Linked DNA regions of Oryctolagus cuniculus. The protein of the gene in region 2 purifies or fractionates together with the protein of the main gene of each other region. This does not show direct contact. Links are inferred from orthologs where the notes say so. Each region holds a gene or a part of one and is shown on either strand. Other genes may lie near its edges. The genes, in order: DLAT, DLD, OGDH, DLST, PDHB and PDHA1.

Region 1 (3,500 bases), on a different chromosome or scaffold from region 2:
ATCTGGGGGAGTGAACCAAAGCATGGAAGACCTCTGTCTCTTGAACTCTTTCAAACAAACAAATAAATATTTTTTAAAAATTAAGGTCAATCAAAGCTTAGATATTCTCCAGGATACTCTCTGCAAATTACAATTAAGATGACACCTATTTTCCATTACCAACTGGCATTCTGTAACAGGATAATATATGGCTAAAATGTAAATGTTTAGTGAGAAAAAACAAAATTAATAATTTAGAGAATTGGAATTTTCCAGGTCTTTTACCTTATTAAGTTCTTTCCGTACTAACAAAACTTCTCCCATATTTACATCAATAGAAAGGTAATAATGAGGTATGGTTTGCTTTGATTGCATTAACCGCTGTGCAATAACCTGAAACCAAAGAAAATTTAAAAATTACTTATTTAGGTTGAGACAAGATCTTACCTAATCCATGGCTCTGTTTGCCTCTTCATTCTGCTCGCCAGTAATGCTTACCTTAAGCATTACTAGAATTGGAAGATGGAGAACTGCACCATCACATACCTCTTTTCTAATAGACTTAAAACACAATGCTTTATCCCAATCATTCACTGAGCCAAGCCAAACTTCTCTTAAATTAATCATCTGATATTCCCAACTGAAAAAGCCTCTCTTATTATTTTAAACTATGGAAGCAGTTAGACAGCAGAGTAAAGATCTCCCCAGTAGCTTTGGTTCCAGATCATGGTAATGCTCTTACTCGCCGAATGTTGCTTATTGGTATATCTGTGAAAACACCTGTAGGAACTGGTGCCACTCCTGGACTAGGGGGAGGAACAGCAGCTGCTGGAGCCTATGTGGGGAAAGAAAAAACTTAGTTATAGAGATGCAGTTGGATAGGAGGATTCACTTTTAATGTTCTACAGCACAATAGGATAATTTTGATTGAAATAGCTGTCTATTTCAAAATAGCTAGTGGAAAGGATTTTAAATGTTCCCAACACAAAGAAATGATAAGTGCCTGAAGTGATATGACAATTATCCCGATCTGATCATTAGACATTGTATACATGCATTGAAATATTATGTTGTTCCCCATTATACATACAATCACTATGTGTCAATTAAAAAGAAAAAGCTCAGGGCCAGGACTGTGGCACAGTGGTTTAAGCCCCAGTCTGCAATGCCAGCAACCCATAGGGGTGCCAGTTCGGGTCCTGGCTGCTCCACTTCTGATCTAGCTCCCTGCTAATCCACTTGGGAAAGCAGCAGAGGATGGCCCACATCCTTGGGCCCCTGCACCCATGTAGGAGACCTGGAAGAAGCTCCTGGCTCCTGGCTTCGTATAGGCTCAGCCCAGGTCATTGCGGCCATTTGGGGAGTGAAACAGCAGATGAAAGACCTCTCTCTGTCTCTCTGTCTCTACCTCTCTTTCTCTCTCTGTAACTCTGTATTTCAAATAAATAAAATAAATCTTTAAAAAAAATTAAAAAGCTCTTAGAAACTAGCTCAATCTTAATGTAAGATTAGGAAAGCCTGACAGTGACTCTTTTTTCTTTTCCTTTTTTAAAACTTATTTGAGGTAGGGAAACGGATCCCATCTTCTGGTTCACTTCCCAAATACCTGCAATGGTCTGATAGCCAAGAACCCAAATCAGATCTCCCATGTGGGTAGCAGGAATCCAACTACTTGTGGGCCATCACTGTCTGCATCGCAGGGTGCACATGAGCAAGAAGTTGGGATCAGGAAAAGAGCCAGAACTCAAAGCCAGGCACTCTGATATGGGATGCAGGTGTCCCAACCTAGCAGCTTAACTGCCATACCAAACACTTGACTTTGTCAGTGATTTTTATAGATGCAAAGTAAAAAGAATAAAAGTTTTATAGAATAAAAGCTATTTTCTAACTACAGAGAACAAAAGAAACTTGTATTTAGACTGCTATAGAGCTTAAATGTTTTTTACTGAGAATTCTAAAATCATGTTTTAAGTGTCATTCTTTGACTCAGTATATTCAGTAATTAATCTATGTCAAAATAACTTTGTTATTACAAAATTATCTTCAAGAAAAGGAGTCAAGGCATTGTAAAACTGAAAGAATTAAGAAACACATAAACCAGCTAATCCATTACCCAAAAAATGTTAAGAAAAAACAAGGACAAATCTTTCATTATAAAGCAAACACCTAAAGAAATACATCATTTTCCTTACTCCTACTGATTCTCTTGACACCTTACAAATCAAAAATGAGTTGGATATACGGATTTGATCTCTGAATGGACTAACCACACAAACCTTATAAATCAACTCGCAAATGTGTTTTGAAAACAAGGACCAAATGAGGAGAAAATGTATCTGAAAAATTCCAGTATCTTGGGGCCAGTGTTGTGGTGCAGTGGGTTAAACACTACCTCCAACACTGGCATCCTACATGGGTGTTGGTTTGAGTCCCAGCTGCTCTACTTCCAATGCAGCTCCTGCTAAGGCACCTGAGAAAGCAGCAGAGGGTGGCCCAAGTGCTTAGGCCCCTGCACCCATAGGGGAAACCAGATGGAGTTCCAGTTTCCTGGCTTCAGTCTGGCCCAGCCCCAGGCATTGTAGCCAACTGGGGAGTAAACCAGCAGATCGAAGATTCTGTGTGTGTGTGTGTGTGTATGTCTCCCTCTCTTTGTAACTCTGCCTTTGAAATAAATAACTGAAAAAAATTTTCAGTATCTCTACTCAAAATATATTTTGGATTTCATGTCAGTGTAATACATCACCTTTAATTTTGTATGAACATTTTAGCACACAAATATCTAGATACTGAAGTCACTGAAAGTAGAAGAAAGCATGATTCTGGATAAGCTACTTAATTCATAAATAATGTCTAAGAAGCAGGACAAAGTACTTTGAAGGGACAAACTATAAAATAAACAAACAAAAAATACATGAGTAAGCTGTAACTCACAGGAGCAGCTTTAGTAGGCACAAAAGAGTCAATGTCTTTCTTGATGATTCTGCCATCTGGTCCTGTCCCTGGAAGAGATACATAAATACCACATATACGATGACATACTGCTGGTTCCCCAAGATCAACCTGTAATCCTGAAGTACAAGCTCCTAAGGGTTTGCTACAAAAACACTCTGAAGGGATCACAACTTTAAACCCTGTCTCTTAAGGTTCTTTCCCTGAGAATGCCTACCAATTTTTTTTTTTTTTTTAAGATTTAGTTATTTGAGGGACAGAGTTACAGTTAGAGGAAGAGACAGGGAGAGAGGTTTTCCATCTACTGGTTCACTCCCCAAATGGCCACCAATGGCCAGAGCTGGGCCAATACAAAGCCAGGAGGCAGAAGTTTCTTCTGGGTCTCCCATAGGGCTGCAGGGGCCCAAGCACTTGGGCCATCTTCCACTGCTTTCCCATGCACATTAGCAGAGAGCTGGATCAGAAAGGGAGCAGCTGGGACACGAACTGGTACCCATATGGGATGCCAGCGCTGCAGGCAGAGGCTTAACCTACTATGCCACAGCACTGGCTCCTACCTACAAACTTTTGCT
Region 2 (4,151 bases):
AATGTGTCAAATATTGATTATTAACATCTTTTTAAAATGTCTGATTATTTTAAAAAATTATCTATTTGAGAAACAGAGCACCCAAACGCCTGCAACAGCTGTGACTGAGAACTCTAAGGTTTCTCATGCAGGGAACCAACCACCCGAGGCATCACTTGTTGCCTCCATAGTACACGTTAACAGGAAGCTAGAATTGGGAGTGAAGCCAGGACTCAAATCCAGACACTCTGACATGGGATACGGGCACCCAATCAGCATGTTAACTACTAAGTCAAACAAGCAACCCTATTAACGTATCTTCCACCATCACACAGAGCTTACACAGCAATGCCTCTCCTCTCTGGCAGTAACAGTTTACACTTTTCAGTCATACTTACCTTTCATTATGAATACTCATCTTATTTAATATAACTGCATATTTAACATAATAAAAACATATTCCAACAATATTAAGTTTTATTAAATTTTCAGAAAATATTACTGATTGTCAGTTCCATAAATAAAACTCTGAAAGTTCTAATTTAAGTACCTGGATAATATACTTGATGACAATCCTTCCTAGTCTACCATGTACGTATAGTTCAGTCCATATAGGAAAATTCATGAAGATACTCCTGATCAATCAACTAGGAACAGAAAACTGGAGAAGGTATCTTACGAAAATGCAGTAAGTAATAAGTAATATTACAGCTTTACAAATTCTATCAAAATCGCCACAATTTTGAAATATGGATGGCTACCATTTCCCAAAAGTAGTGACACACAAAAAAACAAACAGCTCCTGCTGCCATCACAACAGGCACACAGGAGACAGTGACAAAACCTACAGGGAGGTGGTAAGTTCTCTGCTCCAGGACAACTCTTGCTCCTGAGGTCAGTGTAGCAACCGGCAGTCCTGAGTTGTAGGCCCCACTCTGCCTCTCCCTTAAAGCTTGACTTCTGGCATGCTCTGTTAGTTATCTTGGGGACTACAGATGCCTCATCTTTGAAACAAAGGGATTTCATTGGATACATTAGTTTCCTCTCTCCATCCAAGAGTTCAGCCACCTACAGTTAAACTCAAAAACAGTACACTTATTACATGGAAAACTCCAGAAATAAACTACAGCTGACTCTTGAACAACATGTATTTGAACAGTGCAGGACCACTTATACATGAATTTCTCTTTTTGGGGGAGACTGGCAACTATTTGAAAAACTTAATGAACTGAGTAGCCTAGAAATATTTATAAACAAACAAACAAACAATTAGGGGGCCAGCATGGCAGCTCAGTGTACTAAGCTCCTACCAGCAATGCCAGCACCCCACATCGGAGCACCTGTTCAAGTCCCAGCTGCTCTGCTTCAGATCCAGCTTCCTGCTAATGTGGCTGGAAAAGCAGTGGAAGATGGTCCAGGAACGTGGGACCCTACCACCCAAGTAGGAGACCAGATGGAGTTCCCTTCCCGGCTCCTGACTCAACCCCAGCCATTGCAACCATTTTGGGGATGAACCAACAGATGGAAGCTCTCACACGTTCTAACTCTGCCTTTCAAATAAAAAAAAAAAATTAAGGAAAAGCTATATGATGAACGCTCAGAATATGCACAGACAATCCCACTTTCTGGGACAACTGAGCTCAAGTGTTGCAGCTCCTTAAAACACCAGGTGATGCTGTCTCTCCCTCAGTAGCTCCTCTCTCCAGTAAACTGCACATCACAGTGACAAGTTCTCTCTCGCAACCCTTATTTTTCACTGTACATAACATGCAACACATAAAAACTGTACGTTACTCACTTACTTGCACCCTATTAACGTTTGGAGGTGGGGGAGAGAGAGGGTCAAACCTCGCAGATTTTTCAACTGCACAAGAGCCTGGCACCCGGATCCCTGTGTTGTTCGGGAACCAACTCTGTTCATCAGTTATAAGTTTCGCCATTCCACCCCACCAGCTGGGACAGGAATCACCCTTTCGTCCTCAATATGCTACCTGCTCATTCGTTCTCACTTGGTAGGCCTGATGATCGCCTGTCCCAGCGCCACAGGCAAGTCCTATGTTACTGAAAGCAGTCATGGCTCTATTTTATTAGTGACTGTCGGTAATCCTTTACTGTGCCTATTTCCTACACTAAACGATATCAGAGATATGTGTAGCAAAAAAGTAACATGGTACAGGGCTGGGGGCTAGCCCCGGGGGGGAGGGGGAGGGGGAGGAGATCCGGGCCATTCAAGCAGTGCTCTCAAGGTTACCTGCCCACTGCAGACAACCAGGCCACTCCGGAGTCAGCTTTACGAAAAGGGCGAGAGCAGGACGCGCCAGGTCCCTGCTAACCCCTTCTCCTCGGGCGGAGGCCTATGGGTACGCCCCTCGGCCCAGCTATGGGAAATGCTGGCCGCCACCAGCCAGCCGAGGCAGGGCCCCTCCGCGGCTGCTCAGCTCCCGCTGCCAGGGAAGGAACCGCCACGTCCGGACCGAGGCCGGGCGGGAGCCGGTGCACAAGAGGTCCGGGTCAGGCCGCCAGCCTCTCGAACTCGCACCAGTTAGGCCGCGTCCCGGCTCCCGGACTCAGGCCTCTCCGTGCCTCCGGCTCAGCACGACCCCACCTCGGAGGTCCTCACCTTGGCCAAGGAGCAGTACACACGACTCCAGCTCTGCATTTTCCCCCGGTACTTTCCTTTCCTCCAATGCTTTCACCTCCGCTAAGCGCGTCCACGGCTTTTCCAAGGTCTCCCCACCCTGCGCATGCACAAGCGCGGCTTACGTCATCCCCGGGGAGCAGCGCGATTGGCCCGCGAGGACAAGGCGTTCGGGTCAGGCTCGGCGTCGTAAACTGTCGTAAAGAACCTAGTGCTTTGTGGCGGCGTGGGGTGGGACGGAGCATTTTGGGATGCTGTGGAAATGTGCAGGGTTGCACTGTAGCCTTAAACTTGGAATATGAAAGATATAGGCAAGTAAACTTATCATTTTATGCAGACTAGCAAAGGAAAGGTTGGCAAGCTTGACAAGCTCTTTGATGTACTAGGCATTCCTTGGCGCTTGCCACAGGCATTATCTCACTTCATCCTTACGCTCCTCTATGAAGTATTGTCTATCTCCGTTTTCCTGAGAGCTTAAGCAAAACCCTCAGTATCGCTTAAAGAAGAAGTCTCTAAAGCTCTGAGGTTAAACTCTTTGGTCTTTTTTTAAGTTTGTGATGTATTTATTTATTAGGCAGAGAGAGAGAGAGATCCTCCAGCCGCTGGTTCACTCCCCCAAATGGCTGCCACGGCCAGAGCTAACCTGATTGGAAACCAGGAGCCAGGAGCTTCCCCCCGGGTCTCCCATGCGGGTACAGGGGCCCAAGGACTTGGACCATCTTCTGCTGCTTTCCCAGGCCATAGCAGAGAGCTGGATCGGAAGTGGAGCAGCCGGGACTTGGGACTTGACCCAAGTCAAGTATGGGATGCCGGCGCTGCAGGCAGCCGCTTTATTGGCTAAGGCGCAGGCAGCGCAGGCCCCTAATCCCTTTGGTCTTAACCACTGCTTATAAGGCATGGGCCACAAACTGACATAAACAGTGTCCTCCCCTAAGTAAACAGACTGCGGACATGCACAGAACTCTACCCTCTGTGTCCTCCTTTGGGAAACACCTCCCAGGTAGAACAATTGATGGTGAGATGGTGGTTGAGATTTAAGATTTTCATAAGAGGTAATAGATGCAAAAGGGTTGAAAAGGCGTGTCGGAGATGGAGCATGGAGATCGAAGACCTGATTCTTGCTTTGTGATAACTGTCTTTAATGTGAGTAGAACTGCATTCCACATTCCTTGAAGGCTTACCACCTGGCACCATGCTGGGCTTTGTGGGTGTGAACACTGGGATACATTACTCCCTGCCTATTAGTGCTCAGTTTTAGGTGAGAAGAAATTAATGATATTAAGTGTCTGTTATAGAGACTCTAGCTGTAACCCATACTGCCTTTTTAAAAAGAAAAAAAAAAGATTTATTTATTTATTAGAGAGGCGGGGTGGGGGGGTATTCCATGCTCTGGTTTACTCCCCAAATGGCCGCGATGGCTGGAGCTGGGCCAATCCGAAGCCAGGAGCCAAGAGCCTCTTCCAGGTCTCCCACGCAGGTACAGGGGCCCAAGGACTTGGGCCATCTTCTACTGCTTTCCCAGGCCATAGCTGAG
Region 3 (3,500 bases), on a different chromosome or scaffold from region 2:
CCTGGGCACGTTCAAGTGGCCACGGCTGCCAGCACCTGTTCCCCACAGCCACCCGGAGGCCTCAGGCCCGGGCCTCACTCCGCACCGGCACAGCCAGCGCTCCTTGCAGGAGCCGGGGTGCGGGGGAGGAGTCACAGGAGCCGCTGGCTCTCAAGAGCCTCTACGCAGTCCTGGGGGCACTCACAGGCGAGAGCCAGCAGCCTCTGCCCACGGCCAGGAAAAGTCAAACGTGAAGTCCTGCGAGCCCCACAGAGCAGCAGCAGGGAACCCCCAACCCCACCCACCCACCTGGAAGCATCTCGTCAAAGCTGGTCCTGGCCTCAGGGTGGCGCAGCAGGGACTTGGGCGTGAAGATGATCAGCTGGAAGACAACAGGCCCACGATGCTCTCCAAGTCCCAGAAGCTGGTCGGAAGCCAAGGCCACCCAAGCTGGACCCTGGGTCCCAGCAGACAACGCCCAGTGCTGGGCGGAGCCTCCCTCAGCGGGGGCAGACACCCAGCTCCCAGCTGCTGAGGCCCTGGCCCCACCCCGCACCCAGGAAGAGCCCGAGCCTCTGGCAGTCACAGCAAACACACCGTCGGCCTGCCAGAGGGCGTGACAAGGTCCAACCCCAGGACCGCCCTGCCCCGCCGGCTCACGGGCTGGCTGCTGGGAATACACTCCCCTCCTTCTGCTCGTACCCCGACCCGGCGCCTACCTACTCTCCAACACGCAGCTCCTTGCAAGCCCTGGGCCCCTGCGGGTTTCTGTCTTCCAGTACTCAGCACCCCCCCAACCCCAGCTGCTCCCATGACCACCCTCGCCCTGCTGGGCTGGACCTCACAGCCTGCCCTTCCCTGGGAGCAACGCCAAGAGGGACCCAGCTCTGACTCCATCCTGTCCATGCACCCCTTCCAGGCAACAACTGGCCAGCCCCAAGCTAGAGGCCCTGGGAAAAGCCTGGCCCCGTGCCGGCGTTGCAGGGTCAGCGCCCTGGGTCACAGGTCATCCTCAGGCCAGGCCAGGCCCGCACTGACCGGCTTGCGAAAGGGCAGCAGGATCTGGCGCCGCAGAACGTGGAAGAAGTTGCCGGGCGTGGAGCAGTTGACGACGACCCAGTTGCAGTCGTACAGCTGGCTGATGTCGAAGTTGGCTTGCTGCAGGTCCTGTGGGGAGCAGCGGCCAGGGGCTGGGCAGGAGCGCTGAGCCCCTCACGCGGGCGTCTAGGAGCGAGGGGCGCCACTCCCAGGGCCCTGCCCTCTGCTTCCCCCTGGATCCCTCCCACTGCTGTGAACTTCCACCCAGCACAAAACATGCTATTTTAGGAGACACCGGTTCTCCCTAAAGCCAACCCCAATCCTCCTTAGAAACGGACCACCCGTTCTTTTCAGGTCTTGGAATCTCAGTAGAATGCCCCGAAGTTCTCTCCCTCCAACATCTGCGCGGGCCTGGTTCAGGAGCTTGTGTGGAGGTGGCCACACGGCACACCGTGGTTTCAGCAGCAGCGGGGTGTGGCCAGCAGGCGAAGCTGTGCCACAGCCTGACCTGAGCCCCAGGCCAGGGAAGGACGGCTCAGGGTGACCGACGGACTCCGCTCACTCACCGGCAGGACATCTGGGTCATCGTTGCACATCTGCAGGAACCGCTCTGGGCGTGCAGAGGAGTGCTCTGGCCCCTGGAACAGACCCCCGAGTTGGCCTGGGAGCTCTCGCGGCTCCCCTCCTGGACCACCTCGCTTGTTTCTGGTTCTTCCTCCTGGCGATGAATCTCGATCCCCCCCCCACCCCCCGCCGGCACAGCACGTGGTGTAAGACCGTGCCCGACCTGGGCTCACCATGCCCTCCATGCCGTGGGGCAGCAGCAGCACGATGCCATTCTGCCGCACCCACTTGGCCTGCCCGGGGCAGATGAACTGGTCGATGATGCACTGAGCCGTGTTGTGGAAGTCACCAAACTGGGCCTCCCAGAGCACCAGGGCGTTGGGGCTGGCCATGGCGAAGCCCAGCTCAAAGCCTGTAAGGGACGAGGGGGAGAGCCACATCCTGGCCGTCAGCCAGCGGGCGGGGCGGGGCTGCAGGCCGGGGGGGGGGGGGGGGGCGTGGGTGGGGCTCACCCAGGACGCCGTACTCGGACAGCGAGCTGTTGCACACGGTGTAGGGCGCCTGGTTGGGCCAGAGGTGGTTCATGGGGATGCAGGTTCTCTTGTCCACATTCTGGTCATGGAGCACATGGTGGCGGTGGCTGGGGCGGAACGAGGACCCGTGAGCCTGGAGTGCAGCTGCCACAGCCCACGCAGCCAGGACGGACATCCAGAGACCCTGCACGCTCGAGGGATCGACCGCCCGGCACGCGGGGCACAGCAAACGAGGTGAGGGCAGAGTAGCCGCAATGCCTGGGCCGCGTGGCTGTTTCCCCAGAATCCCGTGTGCCTCAACGCTACCTGAAGGTGCCACGCTCCACGTCCTGGCCGCTCAGCCGGATGTGGATGCCCTCCTTCAGGAGCGAGCCGAAAGCCATGTACTCCGCCAGAGCCCAGTCCACGGTGCGGTTCTTCACCAGCTCTCCGCGGGTCTTCAGGATCCGGCTCAGCCCTGCAGACAGAGCCCTCACAGCGCTGCAGGCCTGGCCCGCGTGGCTGCTCCACTCTGCTGGGGCCAGGGCCTTCTGCCCCTGCAGCCCCGGGCTTCCAGTGGTGTGGAAGGGCACGGTGAGCACAGGGCTCTGCCGACAGCAGCAGTGGGAGGGGCCGCGGGGCCTCTGCAGGACGAGAGAGGGCCAGTGTTCCCCCCGGCCAGCCCGACGCACTTACCTCCGTGGATGGTGAAGTTCTCCACGGGCACGGAGCTGGCCACGTTCCCAATGTGCGTGAGGACGTCCTCGGTGAGGCCCGTGGAGGGGCAGGACATGCTCCGGGGCTGACCGTCCAGGGTGAAGAAGCCTGCGAGGGAGGGCAGGCAGAGGCGCCGTAGCACCGTGTCGGGACGACACCTGCGCGGGGTGCTGCTGACTGCGGCACACGCCGGAGGAGCTGGACTCTGGGAGGGGCCTCCTGGTCACCTCGCGGGCACTAAGGGGTCTCCGCGGGGCCCTCTGCTCACCAGGCCAGGGCGAGTCGAGCCAGTGCTTGATGTGCAGGATCTTCTCGTCCTTGGACCTGGCGAAAGCTTCCTCGCAGATCTTGTCGTACTTGGAGATCTCCTCCTGAGGGTCGGGCATGACACCGCTGGACGGGGACAGCGGCCCTGCCGCACACACCCCGCTGCACCTCCTACTTCCTGTGTGCCTGCTCCTCGCAGCCCTGGGGTGCAGGGCTCCAGAGCTCTGTCTGCGCCCACACGTCCGTCTCTGGGGTGTCTGCCTGGGCTGCCTGCTGGCAAGCGAGCAGGCACAGCCTCTGTGGGACCACACCCGGCCCCGGGTGGAGCCAGACCTTGCACTGCTGTGTCGCTGAGGGAGCCAGCGGCCGCCACCCCCACCGCAGACCCCATCTCAGTGGCCTCCTGGGGGCTGAGGGGCTGTA
Region 4 (4,239 bases), on a different chromosome or scaffold from region 2:
AGGGCTTCCGGGGATTGACTGACTACCCCGGGTGAATGCCCAGCCAAGATGCAACCCCACGTGCAAGGGTCCCCCCCTTGTCCTGCCAGTCTATAAAGAGGAGAATGTTTACTGACATTTCTCGGGATTCCTAGTAGAGAAAGTTCATCACTGAGCGCCTGCTAGGAACTGACACAGTGCTGGTGTCTCACATTCTCAGGACTCAGGATAAAGTCCAAACACTTTGCACAGTCCTGTACCATCCAGTCCTACCTAACTTTGCAGCCAGGTAGGCTTCTTTCCATTCCCCTAATAGGGCAATTCCCAGCCTGCCTAAAAACCTCGACAGAGCAATTCCCTTTGCCTGAAATATCATTTACCTGGCTAATTTCTACGTATTCAAGTCTCAGCTTCAATGTCACTTCTTCAGGGAAGCCTTTATCAGCATTCCCTACTCTCCCAAGCTGGACTGCATCATCCCCTGTCTCATCAAGCTGGACTTCTGAGTACCCACAATGCAATCATGTCCTTACGTGTGCACAAACATCTGCTCACGCTCTCTCCAGCCAGCCTAAGATCTTCGAATGTGGAGACCATCTGCTGTTTCCTTGTCACCAGGCACAGGGGCTGGCACTGTAGTAGCACTCAAACCATTTATTGAGTACATGAGTAAATGAGAACATAATGGATTAAGAGTTCAGGCTAGGAGTCAGTACTGTAGTACAGTGGGTTAAGTCATGGCCTGCAGTGCCAGCAGGCGCCCATATGAGTGCCAGTTTGAGCCCAGCTGCTCCACTTCCAATCCAGTTCCCTGCTAATGTGCCTGGGAAAGCAGCAGAGGACAGCCCAAGTGCTTGGGTGCTGCACCCACGTGGGAGACCTGGAAGAAGCTCCAGACTCCTGGCTTCAGATCAGCCCAGCTCTGGTCATCACGGCCACTTGGAGAGTGAACCAGTGGATGGACACCCTTTCTCTCTGTCTCTCCCTCTGTCTATAACTCTAGCTCTCTAATAAATAAAATCTTAAAAAAAAAAAAAAAAAAGTTTAGGCTGAGGAGTCAGTGTTAAGCAGCTGCCTGCAGCACTGGCATCCCATAAGGGCACGAGTTCAAGTCCCAGGTGTTCCACTTCAGATCCACCTCCCTGCTAATGCACCTGGGAAAGCAGTGGAAGATGGCCCAGGTGCTTGGGTCCCTGCACCCACGTGGGAGACCCAGGTGAAGTTCCTGGCTCTGGCCTGGCGCAGCTGTGGCTATTGGAGAGTGAACCAGCAGATGGAAGATCTCTTTCTATCTCTCCCTCTCTAACTCTGCCTTCCAAATAAATAAATCTTTAAAAAAAAAAAAAAGTAAGAGTTCAAGCTGGGGAGTCAGGTAGGCCTGGCTTGACCAGTAGTTGGCTGAGTGACCTTGGCCAAAGCACTTACCCTTTCTTGCCTTGGGTTATGCATTTATAGAGATAATACTTCTCATTCAGGTTTGTGATGATGAACTAAAATACGCACAGATCGCAGTGAGAATATCTGGTACAATGAAAGCCTACAATAAAACTAACTCATCCAACAAATATACAAGGCACCTAATTTTAAAGATAAGTTATATAAGATAAACTACTAATAATCTCCCCCAAAAAATAAGAAAAAAAGGGATAAAAAACTAAACTCCTTCCAACAATGCAGACTCCGTCTGCTATCTCACGGCACTCTCCCCCTTAACCAAAATGCCTGGCCGAACCCCCTTCTCCTCCAGCTCCCAAGCACTGCCAGCCTCCTTCCTTACCCGGGGACTGGACAAGCTACTCCCTCTCTGCCTCCTGCTCTCCCCGGCTACATCCTCCAGGATGCAGACTCGATGTCACCTACTCGGAGCAGGCGCCCCTGTCCTCCCCACCCCAACCCCGCGAACCAAAATTCGCGCCTGCTCATCTGATGGGTAGTGCGTGCACATCTGGCCTTTCCCACTGGCCTGCGGGCTGCTGGGTCCTGGGCGAGGGGCTGGCAGGGGCCTGGCGCACAGCAAACACTCCGTGACGCTGCGGGTACAGGCGGCAACTGGGCTGCCTGTGGCCGTACACGCCGCTCTGCCCCGGGAGGAGAGCGGGTCAGGCGACGGCCGGCGCAGAACTTACCAGGCAGGGAGCGTCTCCCTAGAGGGCAGTTCCCCTGTTGAGAAAGAAGACATCATCGACGTCACCCGAGGTGAAACGAGGGGAGAAACCGCTCCTCCTGCGAAGCGCGCACGCAAAGCTGCCCCGGCGCTGGGGACGGGCAATCTCCCAACTCCACGGACAGCCGCGACGGGCGCGGACCCCGCCGGCACACCGCGTCCGCCCGACCGTCCCAACTTCCCCACGGGACTGACTGACACCCCCGGGCTTCAACAGAAGGGACGGGACGGGCCCCCGAGTGTCCAGCAGAGGCCGTCCGATGTCGGGACGGGAGCGGCTCCCCAGCCCCGGCGCGCGGGGCGGGGGGCAGCAGGTGACGGTCGGTGCGGGTGCCTCGGGAAGGCCTGCCCCGCAGGCCTCGAAACACAGCCCCGAGGGCGAGGCGGTCCCGGGCCGGCCAGCCCGCGGCCTCTGCGTCCCAGTGCCCTTGGTGCCGGGCCTGGCAGGCGCGCTGCGCCCCCGCCTTCCCGGCCGCCCGTCTGTCCATCAGCAGGTTGCTCACCCGCCGAGGCTCCGGCCCGGCCGGACCATACCTTCTGGAGGGCGGAGAGCGAGCGGCTGAACGCCCGGGACACGCAGCGGGACCGGGACAGCATCGCGACAGCAGCGCTGAGGGCGGGCGGACACCGGATATAGGGCCCGGCAACAACCGGAAGTGGGGCGGGCCGCAGCACCCGCCACGCTGCGAGGGGTGTTCGGAGCGAACCATTGGCGAGGGTGGTGGGGGCGGCTGGGCGGCGCGGGGTCCGGCGTTCCAGAGCAGGCTGTGGTGGCCACTGAGCTGCCTGCTTGCCTGCCCGAGACAGCCCTCTCGAGGGTGCCTACGACTGTCGGCGACCGCAGGGCCCCCGGGGTCGAGCGTTCCCTGGCCATTCCCCGGAGCTGGCTCGGAATTTGGCCCTCTTCTGTCTGAGACCCCGGGGTACCTAGCCATTCTGCCCCCTGCCCCACGAAGAGAGAGCAAAAAGCAGGCACGGGCTTTGAACTCGGATCCTGGCATACGTGGCTGCCTGATCTTACACCTGTGTGGCCTTGGGCAGGTGTCACTGCCTCTCAGAGCATCAGGCTTCTCCCTCTCTCTCCCTCACACACACACACACACCCTCAAGCTCTCCTTCCAAACTGTTTCCTGTACATGCCGCACATTTTTGGAAATTGGCCCCGCCCTGAGAACGTGAACTCCTATCACCTGGAGTTTAAACTCGGTCTTGTTCGCTGCTGCACCCCAGCACAGCTCAGGTGCGCAGAGTTTGTGGGCGGAATCCGGGCCTCCCTGCCGTCAGCACACTGCTCTGCTGCTCCCTAAGTGAAACCACGTGGCCGCCCCTTAGGTCCCCAGGCCCCTGAATGTTATGGATCATCACCTGCCTGATAGAGACGGCGGTTTATAAACCTGCGGCTGAACTGGTAATTGATGAAGTGTGACCGAGTGGTCTGTGCCTGTGCCTTCTGGTGTCTTCACCTGAAGCAGCTTACCTGGTCAGGACTCTCCAGGTGCTGAAAGTACCACTGGGGGTGGGGGGCGGAGAATGCAACCAGAAATCGGGAGAAGAAAGGGCAGGCATCGGCCGCGGTGCTCACGTCCTGCCTTGCATGCCCACGTCTCGTGTCAGAGTGCCTGGTTCAAATTCTGCTTCCTCTCTCAAGGACCCCCCCGGGAGGCAGCGGGCGATGATTCAAGCTCAGATTTTAAGACACAGGGAAAGCCGGCGCCGAGGCTCACTAGGCTAATCCTCCACCTTGCGGCACCGGCACACCAGGTTCTAGTCCCGGTCGGGGCGCCGGATTCTGTCCCGGTTGCCCCTCTTCCAGGCCAGCTCTCTGCTGTGGCCCGGGAGTGCAGTGGAGGATGGCCCAAGTGCTTGGGCCCTGCACCCCATGGGAGACCAGGAAAAGCACCTGGCTCCTGCCATCGGATCAGCGCGGTGCGCCGGCCGCAGCGCGCCTGCCGCGGCGGCCATTGGAGGGTGAACCAACAGCAAAGGAAGACCTTTCTCTCTGTCTTGTCTCTCTCTCTCACTGTCCACCCTGCAGGGAAAAATCCGTGCCCCGCTGCCGCTGTGACCAATCCTCGGTCTCCCTCACCTGGATTATT
Region 5 (4,008 bases), on a different chromosome or scaffold from region 2:
TGAGTTTATAACCTGGTCAATGGCTTGCATAGAGAAATTGAAGGTCATAAATTCACAAATGGGCCGCAACCCAGCCTGTGAGATCAAAAACATGCATGTTAAAAGACAAGGAACAGCAGAGTGGGAGGCAGTATTTTTAAAACGTCATGTTAAATCTCTTTGGGTGAGCCTCACAGAGACTATTACGTACCATAGCTGCACCCACAGCAATTCCAGCAAAGCCCATCTATAAAGGAAAACACAAAGGAAGTGAACATCAGTAAGACTGAGGCGAGCGAGCACTAACGGACAAGCCCTGCAAGGCCGGCTTCCTGGTAGAAGGCTCACCTCGGAGATGGGAGTGTCTATGATCCTCTTGTCTCCGTATTTCTTCCACAGGCCTCGACTAACCTACAAGAGATGACCGCATTAACTTTCAAGTAGATCTCGGGGCAAATGGTGACCTCAGCGTGCGTCTTTCATATATTTTGGTTACCTTGTATGCCCCGTCATACTGGGCAACTTCTTCCCCAAGGAGAAATACCTTCTCATCTCTTTCCAGCTCCTCATCCATACCTTGGTTGATAGCATCACGAACTGTCACCTGTCGCAAATACAGGAAAGTAGTCAGTAAGCTACAGGATTATTTAGGACACCACTGAGTCTCTTCCTGTATACTCACCTAGGCTGCCCTAAGCCTGGGACATAAAAACACATTGGAACAGGCTTCTCTTTTAAAGTTCAAAGAATTCTAGAAGCAGCGTTTGTGTTATATATACTAGTCTTTGAGAAGTTTGCTGATGTGACAGGCTTTCCTTGATGAGCACCCAAGATTAAGAAAACTACCTACTGGCCAGGTCAGCTCACGGGCGGCTTTCCTGGGGGAAATGCAGGCTGGGTTGTTTTGTTAAGACCCCTGGAGTACTATCAAGGAAACCTAATTCATGCTAAATATTTTTTAAGATTTATTTATTTAGGGCCGGCGCCGCGGCTCACTAGGCTAATCCTCCGCCTTGCGGCGCCGGCACACCGGGTTCTAGTCCCGGTCGGGGCGCGGGAGTCTGTCCCGGTTGCCCCTCTTCCAGGCCAGCTCTCTGCTGTGGCCAGGGAGTGCAGTGGAGGATGGCTCAAGTGCTTGGGCCCTGCACCCCATGGGAGACCAGGATAAGCACCTGGCTCCTGCCATCGGATCAGCATGGTGCGCTGGCCGCATCGGCCATTGGAGGGTGAACCAACGGCAAAAGGAAGACCTTTCTCTCTGTTTCTCTCTCTCACTGTCCACTCTGCCTGTCAAAATATAAAAAATAAATAAATAAAAAGATTAAAAAAAAAAGATTTATTTATTTAAAAGGCAGAGCAACAGAGAGGGAAACAAGGAACCATCCGCTGGGTCACTCCCCAACTGTCCACAATAGCTACGTTTGGGCCAGGCTGAAGTGAGGAGCCAGGAACTTCATCTCGCTCTCCCACAAGAGTGGCTCAGGCCCAAGTACTTGGGGCCATCCTATGCTGCCTTTCCAGGTATACCGGCAGGAAGCAGAGCAGCCAGGACTCAAAACTAGCACTGCAACAGTGATGCTGGCGTCGCGGGTGGCAGCTTAATCCTCTGAGCCACGCGGGGATCCAACGCTAAGAACTGAGCACTCGTAGGTAGCAGGCACTGCCAGCCTGCATCTGGCTGTAGGAATTATTTTAACACACACCATGGCAGAATCCTCTAGTAAGGAAAACAGTGAGAGTGTGTGGGTGCAGAGGGGCGATTCCACTCCGGGGTTTATCCCAAAAGAACTCAAGGCAACGCACACGCTGTACGCAGCAACATTCACATCAGCCAAAACGCGCAAACAGCCCAGCCCTCGTGGTGGGATGAGTGGGTGAAGTGTGTGTATGTCCACACTCTGGACCAGATCCTGCAGCCTCACAAAGGAATCCGATTCTGACACAGCTCGGGCCTAGACGAACCGCGAAGGCAATAAGCTAAGTGAAATAAGCCAGACACGAAAGGCCAAGTGATTCCACTTATATGAAGTTCTAGAACAGGCAAACTCAGAAACAGAAAATACTGAGGTGACAGGGAACCAGGAGTTATGTAATGGACACAGAGTTTCTGTCCGGGATGAGAAAGTACTGGGAATGGGAAGCGGAGAGGGCTGCCCGACGCGGTGGGTGCACTTAACGTCCCTAATTTATACACTTTCAACAAAATTAAGCTATGTGCAATTCAGCACAATTTCTTAAGGGGCGATGGATCAGAGAGGAAGAAGCGTCAACTTCTTTTCTCCCAGTGCCCACATGGTCCCAGGCAGCCTGGCGGGAGTGACACGCCGGCGTCACGGGCGCCCGGCGGCGACACAGGCGGCTCCAGTCCCACGCGGGATGTGCGCGTCCGCAGACCGCAGGGCCCGAAGAGCCGCCCGGCCCCGGTCCGCTCCAGTTACCTGCAGCGCCGCCGGCGCGGTCCGGTGAAAGCGCCTCTTCAGCAGCCCGGATACCTGGCGGAGAAAGAGAAGGACGGTCAGAGGGGTGGCGGGGCGGGCAGGGGCCGCGCGGGCTCCCGGCGGCCCCGCGCCGCTGCCTACCTGCTGAAGGGGTCTCCGCACCAGCCCAGAGACCGCCGCCATCTTGACCGTGTCCTCTAGCCGCCGCCTAATGACAACACAGCGGAGCCGGCCGTGCGATAGGTCCCGCCTCCCCGCCTGCGCGGCCAATGGCAGGGCGCGGTGGCTGCGTGCCCCGCCCTCCGCTCTCCGTGAGGGTCGCACGGAGGTGGCGCGTGGAGCGGCGGGGCCCCTCCACCTGGGGCCGGCATGATGGAGAGCGCGCAGCCGCCGGCTCACCGAGTGCACGCGGGTCGCATGCCCCTGGCTGCTTGCAGCGCCGGGGCTGAGAGTGACTCAGGAGTGTGATCTTTTGGGGCTGGAGGGAGTTGTAGTTTTTTTTTGCAGGTTCATGAGTATTTTCATAGCGTACACTGATTTTTAAATATCATTTATTTCTTGCTAACATGAATTCAGAACAAGTCGAGTTTGATACCAGAGGAAATCAAGACACACTCGCCATCATGGAATGCTAATCTTCACAGAAGAGCATCTCCACGAGGTTGGCCTGGCGACACTCCGCGTCCACCAGTTTTTTAGGTGTTCCGTATTTCAGGAGCGTGGGCACCGAAGTCACGTTCAGTTTTTTCCTGAAGTCGTTATTTGGATCTCTCCAGTAAGGCTTGTCTCCTACTTGGCAGTAGATGAACACACATTCTTGGCTGGCACTCTTCAGGCCCTCACGAATGACAGGCTCAGCCTTCGTGCAGAGGGGACACCAGCTGTTCCCTTCCGTGTCCTTAGAACCCACAAACAAGGCGAAAATGCGCTTGCCCTCGTGCTGCTCCACAGCCTGGTTGAACTCCTCGAAGCCACACACGCACACCTCCTGGTAGGCAGCCATTGGGACCTTAAGAGGGAGGCCCCCAGGCTGCAGGTCCTGGAATCCTTGGGGGGCTCTCGGGTGTCGGTTCCTGAGAATGAAAACAATAGCTTTCACTGACTTAGTAAGCACCTACTGTATGCCAAACATTGTGCTAAGTGCTCCATTAAAGCTCATTTCCCACAGGAACCTGCTCAGGTGTTAACCCCAGTTTTCACAGATGGGTGAACTGCAGCAGAGATGGGCCAAAAAGCCGGGGTTTCGATTTAGGAACTGGAGACTCCACTTTCCCCATTGCTTCCGCCTGCAGAAGTTGGTGTCCTGCCTGGGAGGAGGTTCGGATAACCTGGGTTTAGAGAGGGCCTTGGGGGAGGTGCCCAGCACCTGACCATGACCATGGGGGCAGCCTCCAGATGTTCCCTAGTCTCAGTTTGGCCCTTGGGGTCTGATGGGACCAGTGGCTACACAGTCCTCATCCATGCGCTGTGGTGTGGGAGAGGCGAGGGGTCAGGTGCGGATTCAGCGTGGCTGAAAACCTAGCACACCCACTCCCCACCGTGCAGCTCAGCCTCCCTTTCCATCATGCCCCCGATGCCGTCACACCTTCGA
Region 6 (3,500 bases), on a different chromosome or scaffold from region 2:
TACATGTGCATCGATCCTCCTTTCCCCTTCGCACAACCTCCTCTTCGCCCTGCAATCACAGTACGCACCTGCATGAAGCAAGCCACACCCCAAGTTCTCACTCCGAGTCCCAATCGTTAGAACTCAGACACCAATTCAGCTATCTGGGTACCTGTCTCTCTTGGCAAATGTGTTCCCCCTTGTCTCCATAGCCTTTATTTTTAAAATCTTTTTTTTAAAGATTTGTTTATTTGAAAGAGTTAGAAGGAGAGGTAGAGAGAGAGAGGTCTTCCATCCGCTGGTTCACTTCCCAACTGGCTGCAACAGCTGGAGCTGCGCCAGTCCAAAGCCAGGAGCTTCTTCCATGTCTCCTACATGGGTGCAGGGGCCCAAGGACTTGGGCCATGTTCTATTGCTTTCCCGGGCCACAGCAGAGAGCTGGATCGGAAGTGGAGCAGCCGGGACTCAAACCAGCGCCCATACGGGATGCCGGCACTGCAGGCGGTGGCGGCTTTACCTGCTACGCCACAGCGCCGGCCCCTCTCCATATCCATTAGAAGGAAGCTCTCCATCTTTCCTGATCTCTAATCACTTAACCACCTTTCCATGCTAGTCTGGTGTCCTGGACTTTTTTTCAGGGTGACAAGCATCTACTGACTTCTGCACTGGTAAACTTAACAATTCAAGAGTTGTGAGGGACAAAGAGGGAGTGTTGGGAAGATGCCGAGACTACACTGCACATCACGCTGGGTTCAAGCCCATTGTTGCTAGATATCTGCTGGCATGCTTGAGTGACTACACGTGTTCTGCCGTCACAGCACTAACCTCTGGAACTTTTCCCCGAGAAGCTGAAGGACTTCCCAGAACGGTCAGTGCACTCCAAGGCACAACAGAGGTACCAGAGTAGCACCTGAGAAAGGAGTGTTTCTAAACTCGCTCCTAACAGCTAGCATCTTAAGGGCAGACGTTTGAACACTGAACCCGCTCCCGTCCCCTTTCTGTGAATCGAGAGCAAACCTGTGAGCTCTGCGAGAATCTCGCGGACAGAAAGGCCCCGAGTGAAGGTAAAGCCGTGAGCCCGATAGGCTGTGATGAGGTGGTCCGTGGGATTTATGCCGGCCTCCAGGCCCACACAGCAAGCTTCCTGCGTTAAAGGAGGAAAAGAACGTGAGGCTCTGATTCTGGATAAAGAGGTTTCCCAGACTGATATGAAACATGTATGCTAGAACTTGGCATTGATACCACAAAGTGGCTATTTTTCATCCAACACCACAGTGGCATGGAAGGCTCAACAAGCAGCTGTAAACTGGCAGCCAGACGTGCAATTTCCTTTAGCCTGCACAGCGATTTAAAAAAAAAACAACAACCTGGAAGTGATGTCGACATGCACCTGATTTTGTAACCCTTGGCCTAAACCTACCAAAACAAAACCAAATAACCCTTTCAAAAGTGAGTACAATACAGGAATTGAAATGTCCGAAAATTTTAAAACAGTAAAATTCTAAGAACAGGTACAGGAAATTAGCAATGTTATAAATGAATAAAAGGTGTTGGCATTCTAATTTTATTCTAAAAATATGAACCTCAGGTACTTAACACATACGACAAGGTAACATCAACAAACGAGAATCATACTTACCTACCTAAATGAGACAGTTTTAGTACAAACCTACACTCACCTGACCATCACACAAGTGACAGAAACCACGAATAATCTTCTGCTTATACAGCTGATCTGCCTTTAACTCCATTCGGCGCACAGTCTGCATCATCCTGTAATACTTGAGCCCATCCTCCCTGGTGAGCACTGTCGTGACAGGAGGGCCCTCTTCCAGCCGGTGAAGGTCACATTTCTGAAACAGAGTTAAGGCAGGCAGTCATCCTCGGGTTACCACGTAGCTAACGCTGCTGACTCATTCTGAGACCTCACTCCATCGCTAGTGCTATCAAACGCGGGAGACCGCCAAGGAGCGCATCAGAAATGCTTCCTTACTGCTCCTGATTCCTTCGCTCTGTACGCCTCTCTGTGCAAGGGGATGGATAGGGCTTCAGGGGGAGGGAAGTTGTTCTTAGTAGACTTTCACTGAAAACCCCTAGAAGTCAACTGAGCTATGGGGTGAAGCTTTCAAAGGAACATTTAGGAATGTTCATGTTCAAGTGTTTCACTCTAAACTTTGGAGTAAGTTTTTCTTCCTTTTAACCCCCCCCCCCCCGGCCTCACCCATATCAGCAACATGCCAAGAATAACAAACTCTTAACTTTTGGTAAACAACTCTAACTTATGAAACATCTGGTAGAAAATGAAGAGTATCAAAAGGTCTATTCTAAATATAAAAGTTATAAAAACTGGACATCAGTGTGTACCTTTTGAAAAATTCTGAACACAACGTAAAAGCACCTCTCACCTTAATTTCGAAGGTAGCATCATTTGCAAAATTACGGGATGCCACCAGCACTCTGCTTGCCTTGAAAGAAAGAAAACACACAAACACATCATTATGTTTTGTCAGCCATCTTGGATAGTCAGAATTACTACTCAGTGATGATGTACTCATGGAACTTTAATAAACCCCAGCATATTCATGGGCTTCTCTCTCTTCCATTCTGTTCACGATGTTGGTCATCTTCCTCACCTTCCAAAATGAAGCCACACTCTGGCCAATAAAGCACAATCCCACCGCTATCTGAAGGCAGAAAGAAAGGTGGCAAAAACCAAACCTGTTCACTTTACCACTTTGTTTTCCAAGAATTCATGAGACAGGCTGGTGTTGTGGCACATGAGATTAAGTGTCTGCTTGCAACACTGGCATCCCACATAGGAATGTGGTGTGAGTCCCAGCTACTCTGTTTCCAATCCAGCTTCCCCGTAATGTGCCTGGGAAAGCAGAAGATGGCCCAAGTACTTGGCCCCTGCCAACCACTGGATGGAGTTCCTGGTCCAGTCCCGGCTGTTATGGGCATCTGGGGGAGTGAACCAGCAAATGGAAGATTCAAATAAATATGTGTGTTTTAAAAAGAAATTATGAGAACATAATGAAATTAATGGCTATACTGAAGAGCCTAGATAATCTGAGATGTATGCTTTTTTTTTGGGGGGGGGACAGGCAGAGTGGACAGTGAGAGAGAAAGGTCTTCCTTTGCCGTTGATTCACCCTCCAATGGCCGCCACGGCCAGCGTGCTGTGGCCGGCGCACCGTGCTGATCCAATGGCAGGAGCCAGGTACTTATCCTGGGGGTGCAGGGCCCAAGCACCTGGGCCATCCTCCACTGCACTCCCTGGCCACAGCAGAGAGCTGGCCTGGAAGAGGGGCAACCGGGACAGAATCCGGCGCCCCGACTGGGACTAGAACCCGCCTGGGACTAGAACCCGGGGTGCCAGTGCCGCTAGGCGGAGGATTAGCCTATTGAGCCGCGGCGCCGGCTGATTTATGCTATTCTTAAATCATAACTGGATACTGTTCATTTGAACAAGCTAAGAGTTTACTCTATCATACTTCAACTTAAACTATGATTTAATCCCT

The links.
Region 1: the proteins of DLD (region 2) and DLAT purify together in Homo sapiens (affinity purification with mass spectrometry; 4 studies listed by BioGRID and IntAct, counting the BioPlex papers as one, with this or other methods). This does not show direct contact. The link is inferred for Oryctolagus cuniculus from reciprocal best matches to the Homo sapiens genes DLD and DLAT.
Region 3: the proteins of DLD (region 2) and OGDH purify together in Homo sapiens (affinity purification with mass spectrometry; 3 studies listed by BioGRID and IntAct, counting the BioPlex papers as one, with this or other methods). This does not show direct contact. The link is inferred for Oryctolagus cuniculus from reciprocal best matches to the Homo sapiens genes DLD and OGDH.
Region 4: the proteins of DLD (region 2) and DLST purify together in Homo sapiens (affinity purification with mass spectrometry; 3 studies listed by BioGRID and IntAct, counting the BioPlex papers as one, with this or other methods). This does not show direct contact. The link is inferred for Oryctolagus cuniculus from reciprocal best matches to the Homo sapiens genes DLD and DLST.
Region 5: the proteins of DLD (region 2) and PDHB purify together in Homo sapiens (affinity purification with mass spectrometry; 3 studies listed by BioGRID and IntAct, counting the BioPlex papers as one, with this or other methods). This does not show direct contact. The link is inferred for Oryctolagus cuniculus from reciprocal best matches to the Homo sapiens genes DLD and PDHB.
Region 6: the proteins of DLD (region 2) and PDHA1 purify together in Homo sapiens (affinity purification with mass spectrometry; 4 studies listed by BioGRID and IntAct, counting the BioPlex papers as one, with this or other methods). This does not show direct contact. The link is inferred for Oryctolagus cuniculus from reciprocal best matches to the Homo sapiens genes DLD and PDHA1.

What each region holds. Positions count from the first base shown.
Region 1 is NC_091432.1:103,992,602-103,996,101, reverse strand, and holds part of DLAT (dihydrolipoyllysine-residue acetyltransferase component of pyruvate dehydrogenase complex, mitochondrial), read right to left. Parts: intron 2,979-3,500; coding exon 2,911-2,978; intron 815-2,910; coding exon 722-814; intron 373-721; coding exon 265-372; intron 1-264.
Region 2 is NC_091434.1:136,290,127-136,294,277, forward strand, and holds the start of DLD (dihydrolipoyl dehydrogenase, mitochondrial), read right to left. Parts: upstream 2,801-4,151; 5' UTR 2,639-2,800; coding exon 2,600-2,638; intron 1-2,599. UniProt on the Homo sapiens protein: Lipoamide dehydrogenase is a component of the glycine cleavage system as well as an E3 component of three alpha-ketoacid dehydrogenase complexes (pyruvate-, alpha-ketoglutarate-, and branched-chain amino acid-dehydrogenase complex).
Region 3 is NC_091447.1:52,009,501-52,013,000, reverse strand, and holds part of OGDH (2-oxoglutarate dehydrogenase complex component E1), read right to left. Parts: intron 3,182-3,500; coding exon 3,079-3,181; intron 2,919-3,078; coding exon 2,790-2,918; intron 2,572-2,789; coding exon 2,421-2,571; intron 2,222-2,420; coding exon 2,094-2,221; intron 1,994-2,093; coding exon 1,815-1,993; intron 1,656-1,814; coding exon 1,584-1,655; intron 1,147-1,583; coding exon 1,018-1,146; intron 362-1,017; coding exon 289-361; intron 1-288. UniProt on the Homo sapiens protein: 2-oxoglutarate dehydrogenase (E1o) component of the 2-oxoglutarate dehydrogenase complex (OGDHC). Participates in the first step, rate limiting for the overall conversion of 2-oxoglutarate to succinyl-CoA and CO(2) catalyzed by the whole OGDHC.
Region 4 is NC_091451.1:20,942,923-20,947,161, reverse strand, and holds the start of DLST (dihydrolipoyllysine-residue succinyltransferase component of 2-oxoglutarate dehydrogenase complex, mitochondrial), read right to left. Parts: upstream 2,801-4,239; 5' UTR 2,741-2,800; coding exon 2,678-2,740; intron 2,140-2,677; coding exon 2,106-2,139; intron 1,194-2,105; exon of another isoform or gene 1-1,193. UniProt on the Homo sapiens protein: Dihydrolipoamide succinyltransferase (E2) component of the 2-oxoglutarate dehydrogenase complex. The 2-oxoglutarate dehydrogenase complex catalyzes the overall conversion of 2-oxoglutarate to succinyl-CoA and CO(2).
Region 5 is NC_091441.1:91,554,820-91,558,827, reverse strand, and holds the start of PDHB (pyruvate dehydrogenase E1 component subunit beta, mitochondrial), read right to left. Parts: upstream 2,801-4,008; 5' UTR 2,601-2,800; coding exon 2,559-2,600; intron 2,472-2,558; coding exon 2,418-2,471; intron 584-2,417; coding exon 476-583; intron 391-475; coding exon 328-390; intron 227-327; coding exon 191-226; intron 76-190; coding exon 1-75. Other genes in the region: thioredoxin domain-containing protein 17, read right to left, coding at 3,049-3,420. UniProt on the Homo sapiens protein: The pyruvate dehydrogenase complex catalyzes the overall conversion of pyruvate to acetyl-CoA and CO(2), and thereby links the glycolytic pathway to the tricarboxylic cycle.
Region 6 is NC_091453.1:5,384,437-5,387,936, reverse strand, and holds part of PDHA1 (pyruvate dehydrogenase E1 component subunit alpha, somatic form, mitochondrial), read right to left. Parts: intron 2,445-3,500; coding exon 2,385-2,444; intron 1,833-2,384; coding exon 1,659-1,832; intron 1,124-1,658; coding exon 997-1,123; intron 50-996; coding exon 1-49. UniProt on the Homo sapiens protein: The pyruvate dehydrogenase complex catalyzes the overall conversion of pyruvate to acetyl-CoA and CO(2), and thereby links the glycolytic pathway to the tricarboxylic cycle.